Linked DNA regions of Arabidopsis thaliana. The main gene of each other region encodes a partner of the protein of the gene in region 4 in a complex. Each region holds a gene or a part of one and is shown on either strand. Other genes may lie near its edges.

Evidence for each region.
Region 1: AT2G43030 (region 4) and AT5G65220 share a complex: the UniProt entries of both Arabidopsis thaliana proteins name them as parts of the 50S ribosomal subunit.
Region 2: AT2G43030 (region 4) and emb1473 share a complex: the UniProt entries of both Arabidopsis thaliana proteins name them as parts of the 50S ribosomal subunit.
Region 3: AT2G43030 (region 4) and RPL15 share a complex: the UniProt entries of both Arabidopsis thaliana proteins name them as parts of the 50S ribosomal subunit.

Annotation. Positions count from the first base shown.
Region 1 is NC_003076.8:26,057,627-26,065,203, forward strand, and holds AT5G65220 (Ribosomal L29 family protein), read left to right. Parts: upstream 1-3,538; 5' UTR 3,539-3,674; coding exon 3,675-4,013; intron 4,014-4,697; coding exon 4,698-4,880; 3' UTR 4,881-5,056; downstream 5,057-7,577. Other genes in the region: TGA1 (bZIP transcription factor family protein), read left to right, coding at 1,405-1,575, 1,688-1,768, 1,853-1,912, 1,997-2,074, 2,163-2,226, 2,309-2,580, 2,669-2,896, 2,971-3,123; AT5G65225 (uncharacterized protein), read left to right, coding at 5,304-5,308, 6,573-6,616, 7,174-7,276, 7,488-7,577.
Region 2 is NC_003070.9:29,571,432-29,579,792, forward strand, and holds emb1473 (Ribosomal protein L13 family protein), read left to right. Parts: upstream 1-4,374; 5' UTR 4,375-4,565; coding exon 4,566-4,817; intron 4,818-5,125; coding exon 5,126-5,311; intron 5,312-5,511; coding exon 5,512-5,682; intron 5,683-5,858; coding exon 5,859-5,975; 3' UTR 5,976-6,449; downstream 6,450-8,361. Other genes in the region: MSL6 (mechanosensitive channel of small conductance-like 6), read right to left, coding at 1-695; AT1G78620 (integral membrane protein (Protein of unknown function DUF92, transmembrane)), read right to left, coding at 2,431-2,526, 2,808-2,912, 3,026-3,149, 3,297-3,550, 3,878-4,327; AT1G78635 (B3 domain protein), read right to left, coding at 8,284-8,361.
Region 3 is NC_003074.8:9,488,032-9,495,583, reverse strand, and holds RPL15 (ribosomal protein L15), read left to right. Parts: upstream 1-2,928; 5' UTR 2,929-3,025; coding exon 3,026-3,109; intron 3,110-3,180; coding exon 3,181-3,544; intron 3,545-3,836; coding exon 3,837-3,988; intron 3,989-4,082; coding exon 4,083-4,316; 3' UTR 4,317-4,529; downstream 4,530-7,552. Other genes in the region: AT3G25940 (TFIIB zinc-binding protein), read right to left, coding at 1-16, 230-270, 363-480; AT3G25930 (Adenine nucleotide alpha hydrolases-like superfamily protein), read left to right, coding at 1,713-1,911, 2,031-2,122, 2,287-2,399, 2,492-2,552; AT3G25910 (MAP kinase kinase kinase, putative (DUF1644)), read right to left, coding at 4,630-5,748.
Region 4 is NC_003071.7:17,890,836-17,898,041, reverse strand, and holds AT2G43030 (Ribosomal protein L3 family protein), read right to left. Parts: upstream 3,247-7,206; 5' UTR 3,145-3,246; coding exon 2,329-3,144; 3' UTR 2,160-2,328; downstream 1-2,159. Other genes in the region: NPG1 (tetratricopeptide repeat (TPR)-containing protein), read left to right, coding at 1-27, 127-1,337, 1,428-1,575, 1,665-1,993; PAO2 (polyamine oxidase 2), read right to left, coding at 3,602-4,340, 4,421-4,518, 4,609-4,711, 4,807-4,892, 5,007-5,094, 5,186-5,299, 5,396-5,484, 5,570-5,685 and 1 more. UniProt on the Arabidopsis thaliana protein: One of the primary rRNA binding proteins, it binds directly near the 3'-end of the 23S rRNA, where it nucleates assembly of the 50S subunit.

The DNA.
Region 1 (7,577 bases), on a different chromosome or scaffold from region 4:
GAAAAAAATAGTATAGAAAAATGTAATAATTGGTTTTGACTCACTGTAGCTGAGTTATGCGTGAAGACAAAAATCACCGAGAAACCACAGAAACAAATAGAAAAAATAGTTAAATATATAAAACAAATATAAAATAACTGCGTCAAAGGTCTCATTTAAGTTGTCGTGATTCTTCTTCCTTCGTCTACTTGAAGATGATGAAACCTGAGTTTCTGAGACAGAAGGAAGAGCTTTTAACATCCCTTCTGTTTATGGTCGGATTCCAACTCCGGACTTCTTGGCTTTAACCCTTTACGTCCGATCTTGTCGCTGAAATCTTTCTTTCTCCTTTTACATGGTTTTCACGACGACAAAAGTTTGCCTTTTTCTAGTTGCTGCCTTGACTTCAGATAGCATCACAAGGTTCGGCTTCAGATAACATCACAAGGTTTGATTGACTTTGCTCTGTTCTAATCTAATCTTGTTAATATCTTAAAAGCCTAAAACTTTTCTCTTATTGATTGTTTTGGTTAATTTTGTTTCCCCTTTTTTTTGTTGTATTTACTCGATTGATTACTTCAATATGATTTTCTGGTTTGCTTGGAATTTAAGCTGGAAGGAACTGATTCGAATATTTCTTGCATAAGAAGATGTTTCAATCTACCTATCTATTGACTTCATGATTGGCTTTTGCTTTTATTGTTGATATCTCTTACTATCTTGATTTCACCTTTCGTTACCATTTGCGTACAAAAATTTAACAAAGCAATGAATGGGAATTTCTTATTTTTTGTATAGTCGTTTTAACTGCTAAACTATGTTAAGTTGGTCCACACAATTAGGTGCTGAAAATAAAGTGACATCCTAATAAGTGGAAACTTGACTTATGGAGCTTTTCGTCTGCTTAACATTAATTTTTATCATCTTATCTATTTGACACCTTCCAAACACTATTGGGGAAATGGCTTCTTCTCTTTTTTCCGGTGTAGGTTTAAGGTTTTAGATTTGAAGGCGGATGGTGAGGAGTTTGTGTTGATGAAATGGGTGATTTGAAGTTAAATCCTTTAAGTTCTTTTAGCCTTAAGTTCTTTTAGCCTGTCATTACAATATATGTTTCAGTTGTGATCTTTTGGTGCTCTCCAAGGTCTTAGGGAATCTCCGTGTCCCCTCTGGTTTCTTTCTTTGTATAAAGTCTCTGGAATTTAAAGATGATTTTGTCCTGTTTTCTTCGAAGAATTTGGCGAAGAAACATCAAAAGTTCACTATTTGCTTTACGTGTTATGCTTGTTTGACTTTGTGTGATCTAACTTTTGGTTGAAAACTAATGCTCATCTTTTGTTCTTTGGAATGTCTTGATCTGCTTGATTTTGAATGCTTTGTCACATTGTTTAAACAATTTGTTCTTTGTTTTCAGTTGAGGAAAACATGAATTCGACATCGACACATTTTGTGCCACCGAGAAGAGTTGGTATATACGAACCTGTCCATCAATTCGGTATGTGGGGGGAGAGTTTCAAAAGCAATATTAGCAATGGGACTATGAACACACCAAACCACATAATAATACCGAATAATCAGAAACTAGACAACAACGTGGTACTTTTTTACTTCATTGCTCTTCAACCTCCTGATGATAAATTTGTTTGGTCTGTTTTCAGAAATTTAAACTAGCTTTCATTTCTTGACAATCTTTTTTTTTTTTTTATAGTCAGAGGATACTTCCCATGGAACAGCAGGAACTCCTCACATGTTCGATCAAGAAGCTTCAACGTCTAGACATCCCGATAAGGTTAGCTATTCAAATACTTCTCTATCAGTTTCTTAATCATAAATTTCTACGCATCATATAGACTAAATCGTTATATCGTTACAGATACAAAGACGGCTTGCTCAAAACCGCGAGGCTGCTAGGAAAAGTCGCTTGCGCAAGAAGGTATGACTTCATTTTCTTCCCCTTGGTAAACTGTTTCTGTTTGCCTAATGAGTTGAGAGATTTGATTGTTTTTTTTTTTTGCAGGCTTATGTTCAGCAACTGGAAACAAGCAGGTTGAAGCTAATTCAATTAGAGCAAGAACTCGATCGTGCTAGACAACAGGTTAATGAAATGAAATCTAAATATATATTCGCTTTCTTTCGAGTTCCAAAATATAATGCAATTTCTGATTGAATATGAATGTTTTCAGGGATTCTATGTAGGAAACGGAATAGATACTAATTCTCTCGGTTTTTCGGAAACCATGAATCCAGGTTTTGAATCAAGAACAATGAGTCTTTTGGAAAAAATATAGAATTCAAGATTTTGATTGGTGGAAGCTTATTTGATTTGCAGGGATTGCTGCATTTGAAATGGAATATGGACATTGGGTTGAAGAACAGAACAGACAGATATGTGAACTAAGAACAGTTTTACACGGACACATTAACGATATCGAGCTTCGTTCGCTAGTCGAAAACGCCATGAAACATTACTTTGAGCTTTTCCGGATGAAATCGTCTGCTGCCAAAGCCGATGTCTTCTTCGTCATGTCAGGGATGTGGAGAACTTCAGCAGAACGATTCTTCTTATGGATTGGCGGATTTCGACCCTCCGATCTTCTCAAGGTATAAAACAAATAACAATCTAGCGTAATGTTTAATGAATAGAAGGAAACAAGCAAGATTACAATGTTTCAAATGTTTTTTTTTGTAGGTTCTTTTGCCACATTTTGATGTCTTGACGGATCAACAACTTCTAGATGTATGCAATCTAAAACAATCGTGTCAGCAAGCAGAAGACGCGTTGACTCAAGGTATGGAGAAGCTGCAACACACCCTTGCGGACTGCGTTGCAGCGGGACAACTCGGTGAAGGAAGTTACATTCCTCAGGTGAATTCTGCTATGGATAGATTAGAAGCTTTGGTCAGTTTCGTAAATCAGGTAAAATATATATATTCAAACTCATTTGAAAATACTATAGTATCAGTTTCTTGATTTTGTTTGTTCATTCTTAGGCTGATCACTTGAGACATGAAACATTGCAACAAATGTATCGGATATTGACAACGCGACAAGCGGCTCGAGGATTATTAGCTCTTGGTGAGTATTTTCAACGGCTTAGAGCCTTGAGCTCAAGTTGGGCAACTCGACATCGTGAACCAACGTAGGTTTGAGTTATTTTGTAACAACCAAATGAAGAAAATGGAAAGACCTCAAAAAATGAAGAATGAGTGCATCTGAAAACAGAGGACTACTCTGAATAAATAGAGGGGTTGCTGCTGATATTTATTTTTACTCTGCGGCGGAATTAGAAAATTTGAAAAACATCATGTATTGATAAGTTGTAAATATCAGAAAAAGGTGGGGGTGCAAAAATTTGTACTTTTTAGCTTTTGAAAGAGGCAAGTTTTTCGAATGTTTGTTTGATTTGTAAACAATTTCAGAATTATATAAACTTGGTTCCAAATCCCCTGTAATAATGTCGAGCTATCTGCAATTTGAAAACTATAGGGGCTTTACTTAATTTTACGTTTTGTGTGACACCTATTTGATTTTTTTTGATACGTTTGGACCAGTTTCGTAATTAGAGGTAAATAAAGGGGCAAATAGTAAGATATAAGAAAAGCCTTATCTCATAGAGTTTCTTCTCTTCATTATCCTCAAAATCGCTCGAGAGTGAGAACTCTGCTCTTCTTCTTCTTCCTCCGCCATAGCTACAATGCTTAGTCTCTCAATCGCTACGCCGGGGACGGCGGCGATTTTTCGTAGAGGAACTGCTTCGGCGACTTCAACTTCGTCTTCATTCCATGGTGTCAGAATCCAGCACCAGGTTTCTGCTCGCGTCCCCGCGGCGGCGACGATATCGTCGTCGTCTCCTAAACCGTCGGTGGTGATGATGTCGAAAAGAGAGGCGGAATTGAAAGAGATAAGATCGAAGACGACGGAGCAGTTACAAGAGGAGGTTGTTGACCTTAAAGGTGAGCTCTTTATGCTTCGTCTCCAGAAATCGGCAAGGAATGAGTTCAAATCTAGCGACTTTCGTCGTATGAAGAAACAAGTAAGCTTTTTTCTTACTCTTTAATGCAGAATTATTCCAAATTGTGAAATCTACTTTGTGTTATCTGGTCGATTTTGGCAGTCTTTGAAAGGGTTTAACAAAATTGGGATATGTGGTTTATTGATGGAAACATTGAAATCATCACCATGGAAAATAGGATTATTTAATATGAAGTTGTAGAAGATGTTAGCGAACTCTATAAGCAATGTTTTGTGTTGTTTGTTCTACACATTATAGTTGATTCTAAACTCTAACAATGGCAACATTGTAAGTTACTGTTTTGTGATATCTAATACTGTTTTTGGTAGGTGGTGGAATGGAATTAGAGATTTAATATTGAGTTCAATCCATCCCCTTTTATAGATTCTTGCACACAAGCTTCGAATATGTTCTTAGGATACTACGGTTTCAGTTAGACATGAATGTTGAGCTTTGCGATATCGTTTGTTTAGTCTTTTAAGTGTGCCAATGCACCAAACTAGCTTTAGATGAGAATTTACTTGCTTTGGTTTTACTGATTGCTGGGATTTCAATCAGACATGAATCTTGAGCTCTAAGTGACTAATCCACCCAACTTAGCTGGAGATGACACTAAATTCAAGTAGAGATTTCTTGGTTTTTTTGGCTTACGTCCGTCTCTTTTCTGGTACTGAAGATGTGATCTTTTGGTTGTGGGTGATTTAGGTTGCTCGGATGTTGACGGTTAAAAGAGAGAGGGAGATCAAAGAAGGGATAAAGAAAAGGTTGTCGAGGAAACTTGACAGACAATGGAAGAAAAGCATAGTACCAAGACCACCTCCGTCTCTGAAGAAACTTCAAGAAGAAGAAGCTGCAGAAGAAGCAGCTGAAGCTGCTAAATCTGCTTGAAAAAACCCGCTATTGATTTATGGTCTCTTCCTTGTTGTTTCCTCGAGATGTTGTTAATCTCTGTTATTTGTTGCTGAACCATCTTGTATTTGTTTTTCTTTTGGTGTAAACACTTTCCTTATCAAGTAGTTTACATGAATCCCTTAAAGATTGAAATCGTTCCTTCATGTTTCATCAGAATTATCATCCAATCTGACAAAGAAACTAGTAATCATTCGAAGTTCGAAAAACATCAAATAAGAATAAAGATAAATAAATAAAAGGAAAAATCCAAAACATTGGCGGGAAAATTAGGAATTTATTGAGGAATCAATGGTGGGCTTAGAAATAGAATGGTGCGTTAAAGTTTCTGTCTTTGTGTGCGTAGATGAGGTATTCGGTGGTAGATTCCGGCTGGGTTTGGATTTTTTTTCCGGCGAGTCTATGAGGTAAAGTGATATTTCTTACAGATTTTAAGGATTCAACTAATACGATTATGTTTCCGATGATGTTTCTTGTTTGGGCATGAAACCCTAGATTTCAGCGATTCACTTTCAAAATAAAATCCGTTTATGCAATCGAATGTAGTAGAAAAATCTCATCTTGGTAAATCTCATTGAGACTTCATTGTTAGTTTTTTTTGTTAGTCAACCAACAATGGGTTTGGTTTTTGTTTTACTATTTTTGTCCTTTTCTTATTAGTATATTGAAGATCTGGCCAATAATTTTTCTGACTCAGTGGTGTTGAAATCTTCTTTCAGAAGTGGGGACTAGTGATAAAATAATCTCAAATTAGTAGTTTCTTCTCTTTGTTTTTTCTTTTCTTAAAAGTTTGAATACGACTGATATAAACATAGTTCAATAAGAAGTCATGTTTCGTTTACTAGTAGTTTGCTATCGAGGCTGCTATATATGAGTTCTTGACAGGTATGTAGTCATTTCTGGAAGCCAACAAACCTGTGAGATACTGAGATGGTTGTTAATTTAATGTTTTTGATTTGAGATCGATGCTCTTGTTAACTAGCAGTAGTAGATTTTCACATGTTGATTTCTCATTACCATTGTAGTTGGATAACAAAACTGTTGATATAGCAATGATCGGACCACGATGATTCACCTAATACCTTATATTACAATTAAGTCAAAAGATCTATCTGCCCACAACTATTTTAAATGACTAATGGTCAAAACTGTGTTTTTTTTTTAGTGCAAAGTTTATCTGAAGTTGAGTTTGACAGCTGCATTGTGCTGTTCACATACATCAGTTTACACTTATCCTGCATTTTAAACTGACCAAAAGTCGTCAACTTTTCAGCGTAGATTTGTGAGCTATGCGGTGTTATGTTAAGTACAAGAGACTTGAGACAAAAATTGCATATCTAAAGGTGATTTATGAGATTTGCATATGAATAGCTTTGTATGTTTTATTTGTAACTATTTTTCTGAAGACCTGTCTTACCAACTCCAGTCATGTGCTTTGCACAGCTTTCTATGATGCTTTTGACACGATTATTTTATTATGTAAGTGTCTTACGTATAGTGTTCATGCAAAGATCTTTGGTACTTCTGGATCACAACATGTGACTTGCTTTTCATGCAAAAAGCTTCCTCCATGTTTGTCTTGGTCTTCTGCTTTCGTGAAAAGTCCATACTCTTTAGCCTGTTTTACTTCAACTACTATTTCCTTAAAAGCAACAAATGTTATTTATGCAGGTATTTTGGATTTTCTTTTTGTCTTCTTCTTGATGCCTGTGAAGGTAAAGATGAACAAGACCGACTCTCTTAACTTCCAGAGGTTTGTTGATGCTTCTGCCCAATCTTTTTTGTTCATTTACTATCCACTAGTTTCAGGCTTTGATTCATTTCATGAAGCAATTGTGATTCTAACATGATTTCAAGCTTTTAAAATTCTCCTCTTGATTAAGGAAAGCAGAACTTTTAGACTTTTTGTATCTTGTCACCTTAAATGGTCCTTTTCTTTTAACTTTGTTTTCTAGCTTACACTAACTGTCCCCTTTTTCTAGATGGTGATGCATATACATATGTACAATCTCTTAAGCTTGATAAAACATATAGATAGTTATTCTCTATGAGCATTTCGACTGACTAGTGCTATCATTATAAAAATGCAGTTTGCTTGGCTTAGACCAATATGTTTAAGGTGGATTGTCCAAGTCCTTTAGAAAGCCTTCAGTAAGAACGGTAATAGGCCTTTTTTTGCTTGTGTTCACTTCTTATATCAAAGTCAGACCAATGTGTTGATATAAGCACTACTTGCATGATTGCATCATTCTCATTTGGATTGAATCTGAAGATTATTTTGGTTGGTTCTTACCTCCTTGTGCCTTTTCAGCTTCTTGGATCTTCTATGGAGATGTCCTTGTTCGGCTTTATGGATTGGTTTTAAGAAATCTCAGGTTAGATAATGCAAAGGTACAACAATTCAATACATGTTTTTCAGTAGCATCATTCTTTCCTAGTTCCTACCATTGGAGTGAAGTCAATACAGATTGTTTGATTATTAAGTTAAAAAGTGCCTTCAAACACCTTAATCTTGTAAATACAATTGTCTTTACTTGCATGTGGAATATATCAATCTCATCAATTCTGGCTTGCCTATATCAATAGGTGCTATGTGACACAGTCCAATTGGCTAATTTTAGTTGTGACCACCAAGCGTAGAGCCATTAATGATTACCACTGGTTCGATAGATACAA
Region 2 (8,361 bases), on a different chromosome or scaffold from region 4:
TCTTCTGGTAAATCCTCTGCTGCAAATGGATCATCTTCTTCTTCCTCACCTTGAGTCTTAGGGCTTTTTCCAAAAAAACCTGATTTCATCTGCCCGGATTTCGGAATCCGACCCGACTTCATATCCGCCGTTTGCGGCGGCAACTGAGGCGTTGGCGGATCCGAAAGACGTGACCTAGTTCTCATCTTAAGTAAAGTGCTAGAGCTTCTCTGAATCGGAGCATTATTACCACTACACTTGACAACTTCTCCATCATCGTTATTGTTGGTATTACTGCGACTGTCTCGTCTTCCCACGGGGTCACGTTTTGTAGAAACTCTCGGAGATTCCGATACCGGAGTTAAACCTCTAGATTGAAGCTCGTCCATACCTAAGTCCATATCTAAACAAATCTCACCGGAAGCTTGCTGTTTATGGAGAAACTGACCAATCAGCTTCGTGGGAGGATCTTCGCCGCGACGAAACTCAAAACCCTCATCTTTTTGTTGCTCCCCCGTCGTGGCGGCGGATCTATCAGAATCAACCGCCGCAGCATTATGACCTTTGTTGAGGTTACCTTCACCATCAGTCCAAAAATCGTAGCTTCCGTCTCTCCATATCTTTCCTACAGTCTCTCCGGAGACTCCATTGTTGTTTCCGTTTTCACCGTCGATTTTGACGATAACTTCTCGCCGGTCAGCCGCATCAACGGCCATTACTCAAACAATCCAGCGAAATCTAGGTTTAGCGTACACACCAACGATTAGAGAAGGAAAGCAAAAAAAAGAAAGATTTAATCACACTTTTGGGTAACTGTGAAAGCAAGAAGAAGAGAAAACGCTTTTATTTGATCAGAGCTGGTGATGACTCTTTGTGAGAAAAGAGAGGGTAAGTAATAAGGAAATAAAATTATCTAATTAAAGTATGACGCGTGTAAGCCAATCGCTACCACACAGCTACAACATCATCACTTTGAAATTTGGACGACACACAGAGATCCTCTTCTCCCTCTCTCTCTCTGTGTCTTAATATTATTATTTTTTCAATACCAAACTTTGGCAAAGTTCGAGAAGAAGATGGGAACTTACTCACGGCGAACCATTTAGGTTTTTATTATTTCGTCAAACTTTGGCAAACTAATATTTGTTTAGTATACATTTTGTTTTAAGGATATCGTTTTACATATTTTGTTTGATTCTACGCTAGCATATAGTATTTCAAAAAAAAATCAAATTATTCCATTTTTGGTATTGTTTATTAGGTTAGGTTTGTGCCTTTGTGGGGAAGGGACATTCGTCACATGTATGAAGGACTCACGCAAAACGATGAATATTGTATTTAATGGCTTAGTTAGATGTTGTCGTAATTAATAATAGGTTATTAATTTTTAAAGTAGTTCTTTTAGAACTTAATAAAGAATTAAGCATATTTTAGAACTAGATCAGTTCCAGAAATAAGAAAGTTACAAACTTACTACTATTATCGAGACAGTAGTAAACCCATGTTAGAGAATTTAACCAAAAAAGTGAAAAAACATTGAAAAAAAGTAAGAAAAAGGGCAAGCAAGAGTCTTCTTCAGGCGCGCCGTGGCGGACATTTGACTTTAAGAAAGAAAAAGCGAGATTTGCGCTGCGGCGGTGTAAAAATCAGTCGTAAAATACACGCGTTTGAGGAGCGCGTGTGAATTTTGACACTTGTCAGCTGTGTGTTAGACAGATGTTGCGGCCCATGGGCCATTGTCGTATCTTATTGCGGACCACAGGTTCGTAGAAGCAACGCATTGTATAATTTTTCTTCATGTTTCATAAGTCTAAAAGTAAACAAGCCTGTTAAGTCTCGCTGTCTTGTTTAACAGCTAGGCCGATGGATGCATTTTTCTCTAGAGGCTTCTAAATTAAAATTGGCCACCAGAAACACTATCTTATGCAACGTCGAGAATATTGCTAAAGATGACAGGAACAAGACATAATAATGACAAAAAAGAAGAATGTATTCGAGAAAATCACGACTCTTCGACGACTTCTTTCTCAACCAATTCTTGGTACTTTGTTGTTGCCTTTTCTTCAAACTTTTTTCTTACATTTTCATCACTACTTTCTCTATTTGCTACATAACTTTTTTTACATGTTCTTCAATTTATGATGTCGCAATAGAATTTGGACTTCATGTGAAGGAAATAGAAGAAATCACGTGAATGGATCCCTAAGCAGAAGAAATTTTATAAGTTTCTCTATCTACGGGACAATTGCAAAGGCAAACTTAATTCACATAAATATCATCCAATAATTGCTAGACAATGGTCCCAGAAGTTTTTTCCCCTCATTGATGTTGGACTACTAGTTGTACACAACAGAGTATAATTTATAACACCACTGAATACGTAAGGCTGTGTTTAACAATATAAAAAAAGAATCTAACCTCACTGAGAATACATGACCTTCGTGGCAGGTTTTACTTGACCCAGTTCTGGAGTATAAACTGTTGCATCAAAATCGCCACAATGCTTCCCAAGCTTATGTTGATCACGTTGACTACATCATTGTTTAGCTACACATAGCAAAATAGTGACTAACATGAGACAGAATACAGTCGAGATCATTGCATTCTTGTTTAGTTGGTAACTAATTGCAAGGAATGGATTCATAAGACGAAAACTTCAAAATTCTGTATTGAATGGAAATCGTTTTCCACTCAAGCCAGTTATCTATCAGTCTTTCTGCAAGAAGTGACGGTATATTCATTTGATTATCATCTTCTTGCATTGACAACAAGTAGACAGAGTGAGATCAATAAAACAAAAAGAAGAGAGTTCATTGAAGTGAGCATACCCATTTGAATCCTTCTTTGTCTTGAAAAGAAGCACCTATTATGCTCTCTCCAAGATTGGCAATCTGGGAAGCTAGTACACATACAGCTGCTTCTGGAGGAGTTATCTGTGTTCAAGATATCAAAAGGAAAAGAAGTTTAAAAATCGTGTAATGATAACAGTCTTTAGTAGCATAAAGAAGCTGTGAAGGGAAATTTTGGTAGCAAATAACACTATTACCTGACCCAGGAAGCAGCCAACAGATGCAAGAAAAAATGATGCTAAAAGTCCAGCCAATGTTCCTTCAAGACTCATAGCTCCCTCTGTTCCTCTTGGTACAATCTTAAATGTCGTAGCTAAATACCTGCGAATTGGCAATGGTTAGTAAGATCATTTCAGTTGTCGATTGGATTCATGTCATGACACCACAAGTCCATGCCATACATCAGACAGAAAACAGACACAGACCATAACAGAAGAGGCTATAGCTGGATAACAGTAGCATACTCACGTTGTTTTTCCATAAGCTTTGCCTATCTCGCTCGAGACAGTGTCAGATACTTTAGTGCAGAAACTGGAAACAAAACCAAGCCGGAAAAGCTGGGAAAAAGCTGCTCCTCCCACTTGATATATTGAAAGAAAAGCACAGACACAACCAGCAGCACTTGAACCAATCACACTGCGTGGTCCTCTTCTACCCTTTCTCTTTTCGGCCACACCTTGTGCTTCCTTTTGCGTCATTTTAACCTTCGTTGCCGCTGTTCCCTGTGATATTGTAAATCATCTAAACCAACTTCAGCGCCAGAATCAATTGCAAATTTACTGTTACTATTTCCAGCTCTGGGGTGAAACACGATATTGAAATCTAAAACTTAAAGCATTGCAGAGAAAAGACTAAGTATCTCAATGTTGAGCATGATCAGAAAAAGTAGCTCCTTAATCTGTAAACGTGATTTAGGATCTCTAACACGTCCACAATTCCTAAATTAAACAATAACACATCTAAAATCTAAGGACATTCTTCATTCATCAGCTCGAAATCAAAATCAAAGCAGCGAATTTCTACGTTCTAAGAGTCAGTTACCGAATTACATTCAGGTTGATCACAAATGCACTTACTATGACGAAGTAAGCAGCGACTAAGAGGAAACCAGCAGAGCCATAAGCTCTCCAAGTTAAAGTACCAAGCAAAAACGCGGCGGCGATCCCAGAAGCGGACAATCCGGTAACAAGAAGCGGTGAACCGAGAACAAAAATCAATAAATTGTTAGCCACAGCTGATTTCCAAGTTGGTGACGCCGATTGAATCAGTTTCATCGCCTCCGTCATCACTCCTTCCATCGATGCAGCCGCCGCCGTAGCACCGTCGGCTCTACTTCCCGACGAAAGCATTCCGTTGGAAAGTGGTTCCAGATTACGTCGTCCAAATCTGTAAGATCTAGCGAATGGAGAGGAAGAAGAAAATCCCGAGAATTTTGGGAATCTTAGTGGTAAAGCTGATCTAGAAGAATTTAAGAGTAGAGTTGACGAAATCGTTGCCATGACTTAGCTTGCTTCCGAAGAAGACCTTTCTCTCCTATTGAGAAAAAAAAAACAGTATTTCGGGTTGAATCCGGAGCTCCGAAAAAAACCCGGATCCTTAACCCGTGTTGTGTTTATTTTTCGGTCGTATTCATCAGATTATTTACGGTGTTGCCACTACTACTATTTACTGAGAACCCAATCTTATCCGAGAAATCGGAAAGAGCAGAAGAAATTTGCAGAAGAGAGAAAAACAAAAATGGCGGTTCTTTGCTCGTCTTCGACGGTGATACTCTCTTCTTCTTCCGTGAAATCCTCCGGAAGTGAGAGAAAGTCTCCGTTTTTAGGGTTCTCTTTAACGGCTATCTCGAAGCCGTCGGTACGAGTCGGCATTTATGCGAATTCGAAAAGAGGATTGCAAGTGAAGTGTGAAGCTGAGCCGACGACGACGACTTCTCTTGTTCCGGCGAATCAACGATGGATGTTCGACGAAGAAGAAGCTAATGGCCCTGTAACGATAATTTTTCTATCTCCCTCTGTGTTTAGCATCTACGCATTTATAAAGTGTCGCACTTTAGCTCTTGCTTTGAATTTGAAGTATGGCTTGTTTTTTTCTTCTCCCAATTGCGATTTATTAAGTAGTGGATTTTGCCTTTGACTCATTAGCTGTGTTGTCTGCATCAATTGGCTTCGAAAATTGATGTTTATTCTTCTGAATTTGTTAACTTGGACGTTTTATGAAATTATTAATGTTTGGTTGGAGAGAAGTTAAAAGTCTTTGGCTTGAAACCTTTATTGAGTGTATTCTATGGTTTACAGGACATCTGGAACACGACATGGTATCCAAAAGCTTCAGACCATGTGAACACGGACAAGCCCTGGTTTGTGGTTGATGCAACTGACAAAATTCTTGGTAGATTGGCATCGACAATTGCTAATCACATCCGTGGGAAGAATCTTGCCTCTTACACTCCTAGTGTCGACATGGGAGCTTTTGTGATTGTGGTATGAGTTTCTTTGAGCTATCTGTAGAGAATAAGAAATTTGATGTGCTGCTTTAGTTAATTTCTTCCTGAAGGAGGAGCCTTGGGATTTGGTTTTAGTAAGATTCACATTAGCAGCAAGATGTAGAGCCTCTATGTAGATGTTTGGGCAATGCTTGTAACTTGGTACCTCTAATACTGTTTTCAATTGTTTGGTTAAAGGTGAATGCTGAGAAAGTTGCTGTATCTGGAAAGAAGCGTAACCAAAAGCTGTACAGGAGGCATTCAGGACGACCTGGTGGTATGACAGTAGAGACATTTGATCAATTGCAGCAGAGAATTCCTGAAAGAATCGTTGAGCATGCTGTTCGTGGAATGCTTCCAAAGGGACGGGTTAGATACATAATCCACAGCTCTTTATTAGTCTCCTTTAAGTCTTAACACTTAGCAAATCCGTGTTTCTTCAAACTTATGGATTGAACTTGGAAACTACTTGTTGCGATATTGGTATTGATTGATTACTAGTTTTCCAACTCCCTCTTAACTTTGGTCTGACCATTTTGTGGCAGCTTGGGAGAGCTCTGTTCAATCACCTGAAGGTGTACAAAGGCCCTGACCATCCTCACGAGGCCCAGAAACCGCTTGATCTGCCTATCAGGGACAAGAGAATACAGCTGCAAAAATAGAAGCTCCACCACTGTTCCATTATCGCCAAGCGCAGAGAGTTTTTTCTTCTCAGGTTTCTGTAGTTTCTTCATCCCAAAACCAGAGGAGGCTTTACAGATTCTTGTTTTCGCTTCTATCAACTCTGTTATGCTACAAAACTTTCTAATTTGAAATATTTCTCGTTATTTTTTTTTGCTACTGAATATCTTCTTCAACATGAAAAAGATGACATGTAATGAATACAAATGCCATAAGCAACAGTAGTCACCATTAACAAAAACTTCCTCTTCAATTGGTAACAAACCTTCCCAATGAGATCACAGATGCAAGGAAAATCTAATATTCATGCCTTAATCGAGTCATTACTTAAAACTGAAATTTTTAATGCTGGATCCAAAATTTGAATGTTAAATATACATAATAATAGGAAATACAATTTGAATGTTTGGAATCGCTAACGACTAATGCTAGATCCAAAATCCGGTTAGTATTCATATCATTATGTAAATTTTGCATCCAAATAAATTTAAAAACAAACAAACAAACACAAAAGATTTTTAAAATCCGACAATAAACAAAATCAAAATTTTAAAAACTATTTTTAAAAATCCAAATAAAAATCTTGAATGTTAAATCTACATAATAATATGAAAACAAGTTGAATGTTTGGAATCGCTAACGACTAATGTTGGATCCAAAATCCGGTTAGTATTCATATCATTATGTAAATTTAGCATCCAAAAAAATAATATTAAAACTATTTTAAAAAATGCGAAGTAAAACCTTGAATGTTTAATCTACATAATAATAGGAAAAACAAGTTGAATGTTTGGAATCGCTAACGACTATTGCTGGATCCAAAATCCGGTTAGATTTCATATCATTATATAAATTTAGTATCCATTAAATAATATAATTTTAAAAAATAAACACATGAAAAAAGATTTTTAAAATCCGAATAAACAAAATCTAAATTTTAAAAAGTACTTTAAAAATCCGAATGAAAAACTTGAATGCTAAATCTACATAATAATATGAAAACAAGTTGAATATTTGGAATCGCTAACGACTAATGCTGGATCTAAAATCCGGTTAGTTTTCGTATCATTATATAAATTTAGCATCCAAAAAAATAAAAACTTTTAAAATAACAAACATAAAATAAATCAAAATCTTTATTAAAAAAAAAAAAAAAGAAAAGGAAATTAAGAATCAACGAACCTGACTCATGGTGGACTAATTATGACTCTCTCGGCATGACTCATGGATTGTTGTTTACTAAAGCCCATTCGTTGTAATCTGAAGCCCATCTCTTCGTCTTTGACTTGGGCGGAAACTGCAATTTTTGATGATGAAGAAGATCTCGCTTTTCAGGTCTGAAACTCTGAACCACCGAAACCCCAGATCTCGTCGTCACGTTCACTCGCGATTCTCTTTGCCCGAAATAGATGCATCCAGATTTTGCGTCACGTCAGACTCGTTTCTAGAACTCAAAGTAATCTTCCTGTATAATTAGCCCGTGATCGTCAAAAATTGATCATACACGAGAGACATCTCTCGACATGGCGTTGGACCAACGCGGCAACGCCGTTGGTACCGTTCAGCGATGTATCCGGATCATCAATTTCACGGTCACGAGATATCAGCGATCGTATTTGTAAAACAGTCGCAGAGAAAGAAAATATTTTTTTAGGGTTTAGAAGAAGGAGTAATGATTTCTTAAGGAAAGAAGAAAAGATGAATACTATTTATAAGAGAGAGGTTCACGCAACAAAAAAAAGGAAACATCAGATTATTATTTTCCTTTTTTCAAATTTGGACTTATAATAAAAAAGGAAATTGATCATGATTACAACGGTCTTATTTTTCTAACTGCAAAAGGTTAAGTGTTGGAATTTTTTTATACAACGGTCTATCCTTCACGCGCCTACGCGCGCATCATCCTCGCCGTATCTTCTTCTCCCGAGAATTCTCTCCGGTCAGTCATGCCTCCAATTCACCTTTTCTCGAAGCTTCCCTTCCAAGTTCAGCTTCTTCCGCCGCCAGTTCCACTTTGATGAAGAATTCGCCTTTGGTAAGTTCCAAATTCCTCTTTCTATCTGATCAAATCTATCACGAATCAAGAATATATAGCTTGTTAGGGACTAATTGGTGAATTCAACTTGAGTTTTACAATCAGTCTCTCTTTGAAGTTTTTATTATGCATTTCAAGTCATTAACAACAATCAATGTTTGATTACATGAAAAAAACTTCCTCTACACATACGCGTTTCTGAATGAGATCACAAAATGCAGATATTCTTAATACAATGGAGATTGATTACTGTATTAATAAGCTTCTTTTTCTTCTGCTGCAGGAGCTTTTGCATTTACACGAAAAAGCACACTAAAATGAAGCTTAGAAGT
Region 3 (7,552 bases), on a different chromosome or scaffold from region 4:
GTTCTCTTCTGATATCCTACCAAAAGCAAAGATCATGATGAAATATTCTTGCAAGAATAACAAAACAGTCATCCATTTTTCAGGTCTGAAAGTAATCACATAGCACAGAACTGGTTTTCTACTGTGTGTGTGTATTCATAAGCCTAATAACAATTGACTAACAACACAAATCAAGAGCAGAGAGATTTTTGCTACTCCATGAAACCGAAACAAAATGTATGATGCATACCTCAGCAGAAACTGTGTAAGCTATTTCCTTGTCGATGATATCTGAACGATAAAAGCACAGCAATAAGATTAAACCAACCAAGAAACAAAAACTTTGTTTTGATTTGATGATATCAAGAAAGATTCATCAAAACCTTTTGCATTCCGTGTTGTTTTGCAATGTGGACATTCTGCATACTTGGTTGATTTCAAGACAAGCATAGTCCCACACAAATTACAGAACAAGAACTCGCTTTCTCTAGATTTCTCCATTACAGAACCTTTAACACAATGACACCAAAAAAGAAAAAAACATAACTCATCTCTACATGTCTCAATTGCTTGAAGAAATTTACAAGTAATGAGTAAAAAGATTAAGACGATCCTATGCTCAACAGATGAGTAAAGTAAGCATCTTTAAGCTAAATATCTCCATTAACATCATCTAAAATTTCAAGAGTAGTACTATGAGCATCAAAATCATACTCAGAATCGAAAGTTCGAGACTTTAAATTCCGTTAAAACCCAAAATTATAACTTTAACAAATTTTTACAGTTCTATATACTTCAAATGAGAACTAAAATGGAAAAGGAGAATCATCGAGTACCTTAGATTACAACAGATGCTTTCGCTATCACAGAGCGTCTCGGGAGAGAAGAAAAAAATCGCTAGGGTTTTTGGGATTCAGAGGTAGGAGATGCAGAGATTATAATGGGCTGGATATATGTCTGTTTGGCCCATTAACTTTTCATTTTAGCCCGTTTAGCTAATTATGTCTTTTCTTTTACCAACTCTCTCTAATGATATTTAATTATGATTAAAAATTCCGACAAAGAGAATAATGTTTTATGTCATCAATGGCGTGTATCCGGCAGTTACCAAACACCGGTCCACTCACACCATTTTATTAATGGAATATTTCAATGGAGAATTGGTAATATGTTGTAGAATGAGATCATATTATTCGATTGTTTTCTTTTTTGATATACAAATGTTTTTTTGTTAGACTTAGCATTGTCTCTATCCTAATTTGAATAAGCATATGACTAGTCTTTTGAAAATTTCAGTAAAACGTTTTCCGCAAACTCATCACAAGTTAAGCAGAATCTGAACCGAAATCTAAATGATCAAGTGATATAACATGGAGATTAAATCACTATAAATCGTTATGTAATTTCTTTAAATGATTGCATATTGTGGGATTGAACTTGAAGTTATAGCGATTTTACGCTTTTGGTTCTAATCCAAACCTACTTTGCCACTACACACGGGTTTAATATAGTATTACTTGTGTGTATAATTTTATTTTATTTTGCAAACGAGAAGAAGCCAGAATCAAGTCGTTAACCCATGCCTTTCAATTACCCAATCACCTAAGATTTTTTTTTATATTACTTCCTTTGACAAGTTAATCCACTTCCAAATATACTATAAAGTTGCACATTGACAAGAGGTTTTAGCAGAAGCTAGAAGAAGAAAGGAGAAGAAGAAACAAAGAGAGAAGATGAAGAATGTTATGCTGATTATTGACGAGAGCAACGCAAGTTATGATTTACTCATTTGGGCACTTGAAAACCAAAAAGATACCATTGAGAGCTCCAAAGTTTATATCTTTGCAAAACAGCCACAAAATTCCTTTACTCCTCCTACCGTACTTTCTTCATCAGTCGGCTTTGCTCAAATTTTCTATCCATTTTCACCTAGTAAGTCATTTTATCGACTAATTTGTTGGGAGTTTTCAATAAATATCAAATTTTCTATCCATTTTCACCTAGTACTTTCTTTTGTTGAAAATTGATCAGTTTTTATGTGTGTTTTGCAGATTCAGAACTCATAAGATTGGCTCAAGAAAAGAATATGAAAATTGCTTTGGGTATATTAGAGAAAGCCAAGAAGATATGTTTAAATCATGGGGTAATAATCTATTGACTGAATCATTTAACTTGTTATTAATACAATATCATATATATATTTTTAAATACCAAAGTTTTAAAAGAAAAAAATGAAGTTCTTTTCATGACAACCATTTGTTGCAATATTTTAGTCTCATGATCTCATCATAATCATGTTGAAAACAGATCAAGGCAGAGACATTTACTGATGATGGAGACCCTAAAGATCTAATCCGCAAGATAATTCAAGAACGAAATATCAATTTAATAGTTACGAGCGATCAACAAAGTCTCAAAAAGTAAGAAACATCTTTTAATTTCAAAATATCAGTTAAAAAACTTAGTATTGATGGAAAAGTTGAGATAACAAACATCTTTTAATTAAATGCAGGTGTACACAAAATACAGATTGTTCTCTTCTTGTCGTGAAGAAAAGACTTCGCAAAGATTAAAGATTAAGGAAGTTACAAAATTCACCAATATATATAATTTTCTATGTGGTTAATTGAGATTGTGTAATGATTTGGGGTTGTAGTTTCAGGTGTTGATTTGGGGTTGTAGTTTGAACTTATAATTGTGTTATGTGTATAAATATTTGTGTTTATATATATCAAGTTAGTATAAATACTATAATTTCTTATCGTTTCTTTTATTGGCACTGGTGTCTTGATCATCCCGACTAATTCAGACATGAGCTTATCTGAAAACCCACTTTGGACACAAACGAATTGATACGAACGAGTAACGACTCTTTTATTGAAAACGAAAAGGCCTAAATTTGCTGTGAAAGGCCCAATAAACAATTAAGTGATTATGTAAGACGATGTCGTTTAACTCTTAAGTTTCTCAAGAAAGTTATCTCTCTCTATCTATCTTCCTCAACCTTATCCTTGAAGCTTTGTTTCATCTGTTGTTCCCTGTGACCATGGCTACTCCACTCTCAATCTCATCAAATCCTCTCACCTCCCGCCATTGTTACCGTCTCCACTTATCTTCTACTTCATTCAAGGTAATCTCTCATTCTTCTACAAATGTCAATTTTGAATGAATCCGTAAAATTGGAATTTGAAATGTGTACAGGGAAATGTAAGTGTTTTGGGGGCAAACCCAAGTCAGATTCTATCTCTGAAACTCAACCAAACCCTTAAAACGAGAAACCAACAGCAATTTGCGAGACCCCTTGTTGTGGTTAGCCAAACGGCGGCTACGTCGTCGGCAGTTGTAGCTCCGGAGAGATTCCGTTTGGATAATCTTGGACCACAGCCAGGTTCGAGGAAGAAGCAGAAGAGAAAAGGTAGAGGTATCTCTGCAGGACAAGGAGCAAGTTGTGGTTTTGGTATGAGAGGTCAGAAATCAAGATCGGGTCCTGGGATTATGAGAGGCTTTGAAGGTGGTCAAACTGCTCTTTATCGTCGTCTTCCCAAACTTAGAGGAATCGCTGGAGGTAAAGTTTTGTTTTTGTTTGGTATCCAAGTTTTGTGTAGCCCAAATGTTCGATGAAATGTCTCATCCAAAAGGCTCTGTTTAAATTTGGTGATGCTGCTTTCAGTTTTATTTAGTTAGGGCACATTTGTTTCATAGATTTAATATTGGGTAAGAGAGCCATGAATTGACAACTATGGATCAAGATTGTAGTTAGTGAATAGAGATATTTCATGGTTCGATTTTGCTAATTAGCTCAAACCAATAGAGATATATTTCTGATGCATCGTTGCGTTACTGTGTTCTTTAAACAGGTATGCGTTCAGGATTACCTAAATACTTACCGGTTAATATCAAAGACATAGAAACAGCTGGGTTTCAAGAGGGAGATGAAGTGTCATTGGAGACATTGAAGCAAAAGGGTTTGATTAATCCTTCAGGGAGAGAAAGGAAACTCCCTCTTAAGGTTAGTTTTCCAAACTTGTTGATCCTACTTCTTTCGATTGTGCTTTCGTCTTTTCTTTCTTTATTTAAACGTTTTGATTGGTCTTGGATTTCAGATTCTGGGTACAGGAGAACTAAGCATGAAGCTCACCTTCAAAGCTCGTGCCTTCTCAACACAAGCAAAAGAGAAGCTTGAAGCTTCAGGTTGTACACTCACTGTGTTGCCGGGAAGAAAGAAATGGGTTAAGCCATCTGTTGCAAAGAACCAAGCACGAGCAGATGAATACTTTGCCAAGAAGAGAGCTGCAGCAGCAGAAGCAGCAACTTCAGAGCCAGCAGCCTCTGCTTAAATTACTTCAGTTTCAAGCTCTTTTTAGTGTTGTAAAGCTGCAGAGAAGATAATTGTCTATGACAAATGTTAATTACAATTCCTTTGTCTTTTTGTATGGTGAAGAGATTTACATTTTGTTGTTTGAAGAGTCATTATCAAAAAGATATTTAAACGGTAATGAAATATTGAACATTTTGTTTCCCAATAGTAGAAACTTTTTTCAATCTCCAAAGAAATTTTACATAATAGGGTTTCATAAGTGGGGTTATTACTACAAGGTTTCCCCCATTTTATCATAAACTCCAAAGACCAAATTTCCAAACTGCAGAGCATCACGGTTCTTCTTCTTCATCATCATCATCAATGACAGTTCTTCTTCTAGAACGACGTCTCCGAGTTCCAGACACTTGTTCATCAGAAGATTGATTATTCTCCTCATCTCTAGGTGATGTTCCTGTATTACCTTCATAGCTCTCTCCCCAAAGACTTGCAGGTCTTGAAGATCTTCTTCTCCCACTTGTATGTGTCCTAGCTCTAGATGTACCAGACCAGCTACTACTCCTTGAGCCACTCGATTCTGGTCTAAACACGCGGATGAGAAAGTACACTGTAAGCAAGCGAGTATCAGCAAATAGAAACCCATCATCGTTACTTATTTCATCTCCTCCAAAAGAAGATTGGAGTGTGCTAAGTAAATCCCCTAAATCGCTCTGCCTTTCTAGCCTCCTCCAGCTTCTCTGTCTCTCTGGATCTGCTTCTGATGGCCTAACTCCTGGATGTAGAAGCCTTGCGTGCTTTCTCAGATCGGAATAGCTTCCACTGAAATCACAAGTCTCACAAGAACAGCTTCTATGTTTTGAGTTCATGAAACATCGAGCTGCTTTAACAACTACCCATTCTTTTATATGTCCACGACATAACGGACAAGTAAGCTTTTGTGGTTTGTTTTTTTCTTGATCTTCTTCTGTTGTTACAATTCCTTCTTCTTCTTCTTCTACTACTACTTCTTCTTCTTCTTCTTCTACTTCTTCTTCTCCTCTCTCACCATCACTTAAATCCACAACTGTTATCTCAGATGCAGCTTCTCCTAATAGATTTACAGCAGTTGAGTCTGAATCCACATCTTCCATCTCAGTTGGTTCATTACTTTCCTCTTCCTCACGAAGTAAAGACAAAGAAGGTTTCTCTTTAGAAGCTTTGCGGAACTGATCGAAACAGTTAGAATGCCGATGGCTAGTGTCGCACATGTAAGGTCGACAACCATTTTCATAAGAAGAACAAATGAGAAGAATCCCATTGTGAGGATGTTCCATACAAACAGGACAACGAGCCTCTTCCCATTCCTTAACTTGTTTCTCACTCGGCTTCAAAGCAAGGCTTGCCTCACAACACAGTGGCGATCGTTTATACTTATCAAGAGATACGGACCGTTCTTTCCTCTCTTTCGGCATGTTTTGGAACTAGTAACAAACAAAGTAACCTCCAGGAGGCTAAACCTGCAATAAGTAACCTTCTCATAAGCAACATCAAACTGAAAATTTGTAAATGCTAGTAACAAGCCTGAAAGAGGAATACAGTTCTTAAAAACCAAGATTAGCAAGAGATCTATATGATAAGCTTCAATAGTCATATATACAAATTGCAATCGCACAAAACCTGAGTTCATCGCCTAATCGGATTGAGAAACAGAAGCAAGATAAAAAGTCTAGTCAAGAGATTAACCTAAGCAACGAAAGTTTCAAACTTTGTCAAATCGGATCAGCTAATACTTCAATCAACGAAAAACCCAGATCAAAATGTATTCATAGAAGCAGAAAAAGTGAGAATCGTAAACGCAAATGTTGGAGAAACCCCTATAACGCGAAATGAAGAGAGAGTGAGAGATTCGTACAAGAAGAAGAAGATGAGATCACCGAAAGAGTCTTCGAGAGCTTTGTGGAGATGATCGAATTGATATAACCAATGGAGGAAACCCTAAATCGGGCTCCTCATTGAGAGAGCTAACGAGAAGAGACGAGGAGGATGAGGCGGCTACTTTACTTTACTTTTCTTTTTTCTTCAGAGATATATAAATAATTTAGGAAACTAATAAATAATTTTATTCGGTGTATAAATGTATTTAAGGAAACAAAAATGAAATTAGAAAGCCGATAAAAAAATGAAATTAGAATTTTTTTTTATTAAACTTGTATTTAATTATTATAAACTAATGTTACTTTATACAAAAAAAAAAATTTGAAAACATGTTAGTTAAATTTATTGTTAATTTAAAGCAAAGTGTGTGTAAATGTATTTTATCTATATCTTCAATTCAAAAGATTAGATTTTATTTATTTGTTTGGATTGTAAATTTGTAATTGTACAACTACAATCTATCTCTTCAATATCGGCTAACATAACAAACCGATCCGGTTCAACAGTTGGTATGGCAGGTTATGTGTAAACAGAGTTCAAACCGGTTTAATCATAATAGAGCTATCAGCTATGTATGTAGTTACTCTAGTCATTATATGTTTTTTAGGATTTATGTGGACATGGACATGGGCTTTTATAGAGCTATTATCATGATTGGGCTGAGAACAAATTTGTAAGTCTAACTTTCACACTATTTCATAAGAAAATTAAATCAGTGGACTAGTAGTACAACACCGAAAAGAAAGAAAAAAAAAACTCCTATTGGGTGAAAATATATAATGAACATAAATCGAATTTAAAAGAAATTCAAAATTAGTCCAGTTGGGTATAACCCGTATAACTAAAATTACTTATAGAAAATTTATATATCCTGAATATACAAAATAAACCCCAAAATGGAATTTTTAAAAAATGTTCCAAAGGAAAAATAGTCCGATTGAATGTTAAGAAATAATATTCTTATCAGTTTTAAATTAAGTGTGTTTTAGACAAATGTTTTATTGAAACTAAGTATCGTTTTATGAAAAAGAAAAAAATATATATATATGATTCAATATGACTTTTATAAAGAAATATCTCATTTGTCCCTATTTAAAAATAATATAATATAATATAAAATTACAATAGTCAAAAAAAAATTGTGAATGTTCGGAATTATACAATAGTCAATATGAAAGCCACGATATATTTGTGTGGAAAATTTTAATGTTTTAAGAAACAACTTAATTTCAAATGGATGGAATATATGTATTTATTGGCTTTAACTTTTTGTGTGGATTTTTCCTTTTTTTATAATTTAAGACTATGATTCTTTTATCTTCGGACAACCGATTTCCAAAA
Region 4 (7,206 bases):
CCCTTCAAAAGCTTGGGAGAATAACTGGTATCATTCCCTTTCACCTTTGAAAATGTGAATCTGAGGCATTGATCTTGGTACAGTCTTTAAATCTAAATCTTCCCTTGCTGGGTTTTGGTCTTGTAGAGGCTGCTCATGAATGCAAGAGTGTTCTTGATTCTGTTGAGAAGATATTTCAGCAAGGGATACCAGATGCTCAAGTGGATAACAAACTTCAAGAAACCGTTAGCCACGCCGTTGAACTACTTCCTGCGCTATGGAAAGAATCTGGTGATTATCAAGAAGCCATATCTGCTTATAGACGCGCGCTTTTAAGCCAATGGAATCTTGATAATGATTGTTGTGCAAGGATTCAAAAAGATTTTGCAGTCTTTCTTTTACATTCTGGAGTCGAAGCGAGTCCACCGAGTTTAGGTTCTCAGATAGAGGGATCGTACATACCTAGAAACAACATAGAAGAAGCCATTCTTCTTCTAATGATTCTTTTAAAGAAGTTTAACCTCGGGAAAGCGAAATGGGATCCGTCTGTGTTTGAGCACCTTACCTTTGCGTTATCTTTATGTAGTCAGACCGCGGTTCTCGCCAAGCAGCTTGAAGAAGTAATGCCTGGTGTGTTTAGCCGTATTGAGCGTTGGAACACTTTGGCTCTTTCTTATAGTGCAGCAGGTCAAAACAGTGCTGCAGTTAACCTTCTTAGAAAGTCTCTGCATAAACACGAACAACCCGATGATCTTGTGGCGCTTTTGTTAGCTGCTAAGCTTTGCAGTGAAGAGCCTTCTTTAGCTGCTGAAGGTACGGGTTATGCGCAGAGAGCGATAAACAATGCTCAAGGTATGGATGAGCATTTGAAAGGCGTTGGTTTGAGGATGTTAGGACTTTGTTTAGGGAAACAAGCGAAGGTTCCGACATCGGATTTTGAAAGATCTCGGCTGCAATCAGAATCATTGAAAGCATTAGATGGAGCTATAGCTTTTGAGCACAATAATCCTGATTTGATCTTTGAGTTAGGTGTTCAATACGCTGAGCAACGGAACTTAAAAGCTGCTTCCCGTTACGCCAAAGAGTTCATCGATGCAACGGGAGGGTCAGTGTTAAAAGGATGGAGATTTCTCGCGCTTGTTTTGTCAGCTCAACAACGGTTTTCAGAAGCAGAAGTTGTGACTGATGCTGCTTTAGATGAAACTGCAAAGTGGGATCAGGGACCTCTCTTGAGACTCAAAGCAAAGCTGAAAATCTCTCAGTCAAATCCAACAGAAGCCGTTGAGACTTATCGTTACCTTCTTGCATTGGTTCAAGCGCAAAGGAAATCTTTCGGACCTCTCAGAACTCTTTCTCAGGTTTCAAAATCTCTTTTGTTCTCTAATCTATTGAGATCATCAATCAAAACCTTTTTTTTTTTTTATTGAAGAACTTGTACAATAACACAGATGGAGGAAGACAAAGTGAATGAGTTTGAAGTGTGGCATGGCTTGGCTTATCTTTACTCAAGCCTTTCGCATTGGAACGACGTAGAAGTCTGTCTGAAAAAAGCCGGAGAGCTGAAACAATACTCTGCTTCAATGTTGCATACAGAAGGCAAGAACAAGAAGCCATTTAACTAATCTCTTAGAATCATCCATTACTTGATTTACTCAAATTTGGTTTGAATCTTTGGGAATGATCAGGTCGAATGTGGGAAGGACGAAAGGAGTTCAAACCCGCGCTAGCAGCTTTCTTGGACGGTTTATTACTAGACGGATCATCGGTTCCTTGCAAAGTAGCGGTTGGAGCGTTATTGTCCGAAAGAGGGAAAGATCATCAGCCAACTCTCCCCGTGGCTAGAAGTTTGCTCTCTGATGCATTGAGGATCGATCCAACAAACCGAAAAGCTTGGTATTACTTAGGAATGGTTCATAAATCTGATGGACGTATAGCTGATGCTACTGATTGCTTCCAAGCTGCTTCTATGCTTGAAGAGTCTGATCCTATTGAAAGCTTCTCAACCATTCTTTAAAAATCCATCATAAAGATTTATATTCATATGTTCATTTTTTGTCTGTCATCTCATGTACAATTTTAAACCTTCTTAATTTCTTCAAACTAAATATATATTACATTGTTCGTTAGTTCTTTATGTTTAGAACTTTAGATGCTGAATTTTGGATACGCTTTCGAGTTTTGTAATCGCAGTTGAATCACAATTCAAGAACATTAGCATAGAAATACTTCCGACTTATACAAAAACTCCAATTCTAAGAAAGAAACTGTGATTTAGCAATTCGATACAAATTTTCAAGGAATGGATAAACACAAGTCAACATTACAAAACAAAACAGAGTCTCTTCTCTACTAGTTCTTGGGAATGTTAACTCCGACGATTTTAGCGGGAGTAATACGAAGAAGATTCCCAGGCTTACCAGGCAAAGCACCTTTGATCATGACAACATTAAGCTCCTTATCAACTTTAACAATCTTAAGCTTCCTAATCTTTGTCCTCGTCCCTCCCATTCTTCCAGGCATCTTCTTCCCTTTATAAACTCTTCCCGGAGTAGTACCAGCACCAATCGAACCCAAAGCTCGATGACTCTTGGAACCATGAGTCATCTGACCTCTCTTGAAATGATGCCTTTTGATTCCTCCTTGAAACCCTTTACCAATTGTGGTTCCAGCTACATCAACGAGATCACCTTCTTTGAATATCTCATCGAACACAAGCTTCTGGTTCGGTTCGAATCCTTCGATGTTTGTTAATCTGAACTCTTGGAGATGTCTCATTGGGATTGTACCGGCTTTTTGGAGATGACCGGTTTCCGGTTTAGTTAGCTTTTTGTCGCGTACACGACGGTAACCGATTTGAACCGCGTCGTAACCGTCTGTGGCTAGGGTTTTGATTTGGGTTACGATGTTACCTTCGCGGAATCCGACGACTGTTACTGGAACTACTGTGCCGTCTTCTTCGAAGAAACTCATCATCCCGAGTTTTGACCCCATTACTCCGATTCCAGCTTCCATGGATGATGAAACCACGAATCTGGTTTTTGGTGATGATTTGATGAGAAGTGAAGAGGATTTCGCCGGGAGGAAAGTGGGAGTGAAGAGTGAAGAGGATAAGGTTGTTTTGTTGAGCAGAGATGGGAAAGAAACAACCGCCATAGCTATCGCCATTGTCGGAGATTCACAGAGGAGAAGAAACTCTGAGAGAGGATAAAGCTCTGTGCCACACTCTTATCTTCTTCTCCAGTTATGAAATTTATTATTATACCGCTGAAGATACTCATATTTACAAAACACGGTGGTTTACCTTTTGCAACATCGGTCCTTTAAATCTGATTTTATTCATTTTGTATTTTTTCTTCTTATTGTATTCAATTTAACCTCTTTCAAGATTGGTGTTTATATTAGTTAGCACAAGTGAGAAAAGAAAATAGTACTTGAATTCTTAAAGATGATTATCATATATAAATAATATCACAAGGATATAATGTTCCAATTTATTGAATTAAAAACACTGAGAAAATAAGACTGGGAATGTTTTAAACGATCCGACACGAGAATAATTTTAGTTTCATATTAAGACAATCATCACTTGAGGTTCCTTCTAGTAAACGATAACTGATGGAGTTTAGAGACGAGATATAAGAAGAGGTACAGAGGCAGGTCCTTCCTCGCCCATCACAGGCTGGAACAGATCCAACTCACCATACCGCTCCAGAACTCGCATCCTACAATCTTCAGCTGCCATCAATCCAGTTGAATAAGCGCCGTGAACCGAGCCCGGGAAGCTCGAGCTCGTCGCTTCACCGGCAAAGAATAAGTTATCCACTGGAACCCTAAGCCTCTCGTAGAGATCATGAGGTTTGCCCACGATATCATAGCTATAAGATCCCATTGAATTCACATCAGATCCCCACCTCGACACGAGATACTGTACCGGAGGCAATGCATCGGGAAGAATTCTCTGGAGTTGCAAGACGGCGAAATTTGCAGCTGCTTCATCAGACATTTTCTCAATGTCTTTGGCAAGCTGACCAGCCGGCATGTAAACCAGAACCGGATGACCCGTGGCCTTGTGCAGGTTCAAAAAATAACTGCAACCGTAGGAGGTTTCAGCTACCACTCCTAGAAACTCTACTTTCGGCCAAAAGACTTTCTCAAAATGTAGTATGATCTTGTTCTCAATACCTACTCCTAGGTCGTTGATTGCTTCTTGTTTCCACTCAGGTAGCTTAGGTTCGAACTTTATGGTTCCCGATTTTAAAACTCCAAGAGGGACAGCAATGACTGCAGCATCCGCAACAAAAGTTTGCCCGTTTTCTGTCGTTACCTTCACTCCATTGTACCGCCTGACAATCTTAGTAACCCTGAGAGAAGGAGAAACACGAGGTTATGACTGTGAAACACTAAACGAATGCCATAACTCTTGAAAAACGCAAAAGCTTACCTGTGGCCTACTCGGATATCAAGACCTTTCGCCAGAGTATTGATGACAGGACGATACCCTCTAACCATAAGACCGTGTCCACCAGGCAACAATTCCTCCTGCACATTTCTCGGAGTGTTAAACCAAAAATTCAAGAAGCAGTCTATACAAAAAAAACTCTTAACTACGAGAGAAAGAATGTAACTAACCTGGTCCCAACACTTTGCAGAGATGGTTTCAGCATCTGCGGCAAACCATCCTTCCATGCGGCATACATACCATTGAAGTACGTTGTGTGCAAGCCCCTCTAACCTGGATGTGAAAATTCAAAATTCAACCATGAAACCAAGCTTGCAAAAGTGCATTGCCTAAAGAAATTGAGAAAATGAGACATTATGTATACAAACCTCAGCTCGGGTTTCCTAGAAAAGACAATTGAGAAAGCCTGAGAAATTGAAATGTCAGCATCCTGCTCATCCCTGACTTTATTGATCTGTGTTTGCAATAGACGAATCTAGTTAGCATGAGCATCAATCAAAGACTTGCAACATCAAGAAATACGAGAATAGGAATAAAGAAGAAATCTAAATGAATGTGAAGGACATACCTCTTCCAAAATACGCTCAAACGTTACGCCAATCTGAGTTACCAATTCTTGAGGAACTTGGTTGCCATCCATATCAAACAGAGCATAGCTACAGAAACAAAAGAATTGCACTGTGAGTTTTAAGGTGTCAAACAAGAATAAAAAGATGGAGGTAACAAAATCGAAATATTCAAGCAAACCTCTCGAGATCATGATCATACAGGACGGAATTGTCACCGCTAGTACGATACAAGGGCAGTCCAAGTCTTCCAATAACTGGTGCGAGAGGATTCTCCTTGCATACTCCATGCAGCCTGTGACATAACGATGTTGCTGTGTTAGCCTAAAGTTAACCAAAAACCAAAACCAAAACATCATCTAATGACAGGATGAAAGAGCCGTGAGATTACCATGATGCACCAAGATCAACAGGAAAACCAAATGAGTAATCAGTGTGAACTCGTCCACCAATTCTGTCACGGGACTCCAGTACCATAACCTAAACACCAAGAACCACACCGTGAGAAAGAGATATCAAAATCAGCTATCAGGATATATTGTATAAAACATGAAACATCACAAACCTGAAAGGAAGCATCCTGAAGAGTGCGAGCAGCTGAAATCCCACCGAAACCACCTCCGATCACAATCACGGAGGGCGACCTTGTCTTCATCCTCTCACCAGCTGAAAAGCAATTAGCTATATGAAAACAAAGCACACGAATTAACGACCGTCCAAAGTCCAATAAAGTATCAATTCTTCTAACAAAGAAACAATAGTGATTATCAGAATTAAACAACCCCACAAAAACAAAACTTGTGGCAATCAGCAGATACATCCAAACAAGTAAACGCCACGAAGGAATCAAATCACCGACAGAGAATTCAGCACGAGGGATAAAATTGAGGACCCATTAAAAAAAAAATCAAATTTTGTTTGATAAACCAAATTACCCAGATTATAATCTAGAGTAAGAACCCTAGATCCTTCCTATACATCAACGATAACAATCCGTAAGCGATTTCACAAAAAAGTAACAGACTTTTCGATGGAGGTTGAAGAAAACAGTACCTCTACGCATTTGACGATCAGAGTTTTTCCTGGACTCCATGATTTTTTTTTCAATTGATCAAACGATTACTCTCGAGATTATTGGAATTACGATTACTATTATTATTATTATTATTACTATTAAGCTGGGGAGAGAAATGAAGAATAAAGATGAGAAGACAAGTCGTGAAGTGGCTCGAAATCGAAGATGAAAAAATCAGGCTTCCAAACAAATTCATGCGATTTTCTTCAGGATTTTTAAACCCCCTCTCTGTTTTTGGTTTTTGTTCACCCTGTTTACTCAGCCGGACAGTATCAACGCAGATCTACGACGATCGGCGATATCTGATTCGTAATTCAAGCGAGCAATGGGGGCCAAAGGATCAAAATTCCCAGAAAAGCCAGAAACGAGGAAGAAGAGCTAGAGAGAGAGAGAGAAAGATGAAAACAGAGAGACTTCTAGAGAGAGAAAACAAAAAAAGGTCGGATTTTTTAGGCTTTGGGTCGGTAAAGTAGGTTAGGTTGTAATTTATAATAACGCATATGCTCCCTAATTATCAATATAATTATTAATTTTCTTATTGGATATAGATCTTTTATTGTAGTTTTTTTAGTAATTTTTATTTATTAAATACCTTAAGATTAATTATTTAATTATTTTAATATTAAAAGAGTTAAATTCAGTCAAAGATTTAAGATATACAATTAACAATTTCAAGATATGAACAAATTATTGGTAAATAATTTAGAACTAAAATTAGATAAGTAGTTCATTTCTATATTATTTGCTAATTATATAGCTTCTAGTATATGTTAATATTACTTTTTCAAAATTTAAATATTTTCTTTTATCAATAACAAAAATTGTGAATTTAGTTCTCTGTTATCACGTGTTCGTTTCGGTAAGCTTGATAAGTTACGTAACTTATCAAGTGGTCCAGTAGGAGCACGTGTCGTGCATTTATACGTTTTCCATCAAATTAAAATGTCAACACGTCAGCTTTTATGTCTGTATCTGGTAAATAATAAATATTTTGTTTCTTAAGACCTGACGATGTAAATTCTTTTAAAAAAGGTTTCTAGACGATTCTAATGATTTTAATAGGTATGATATTGATAGCTATGATGAGTTTCGTAAGAATTGAAGACGAACTTTTACCATAAAATTCC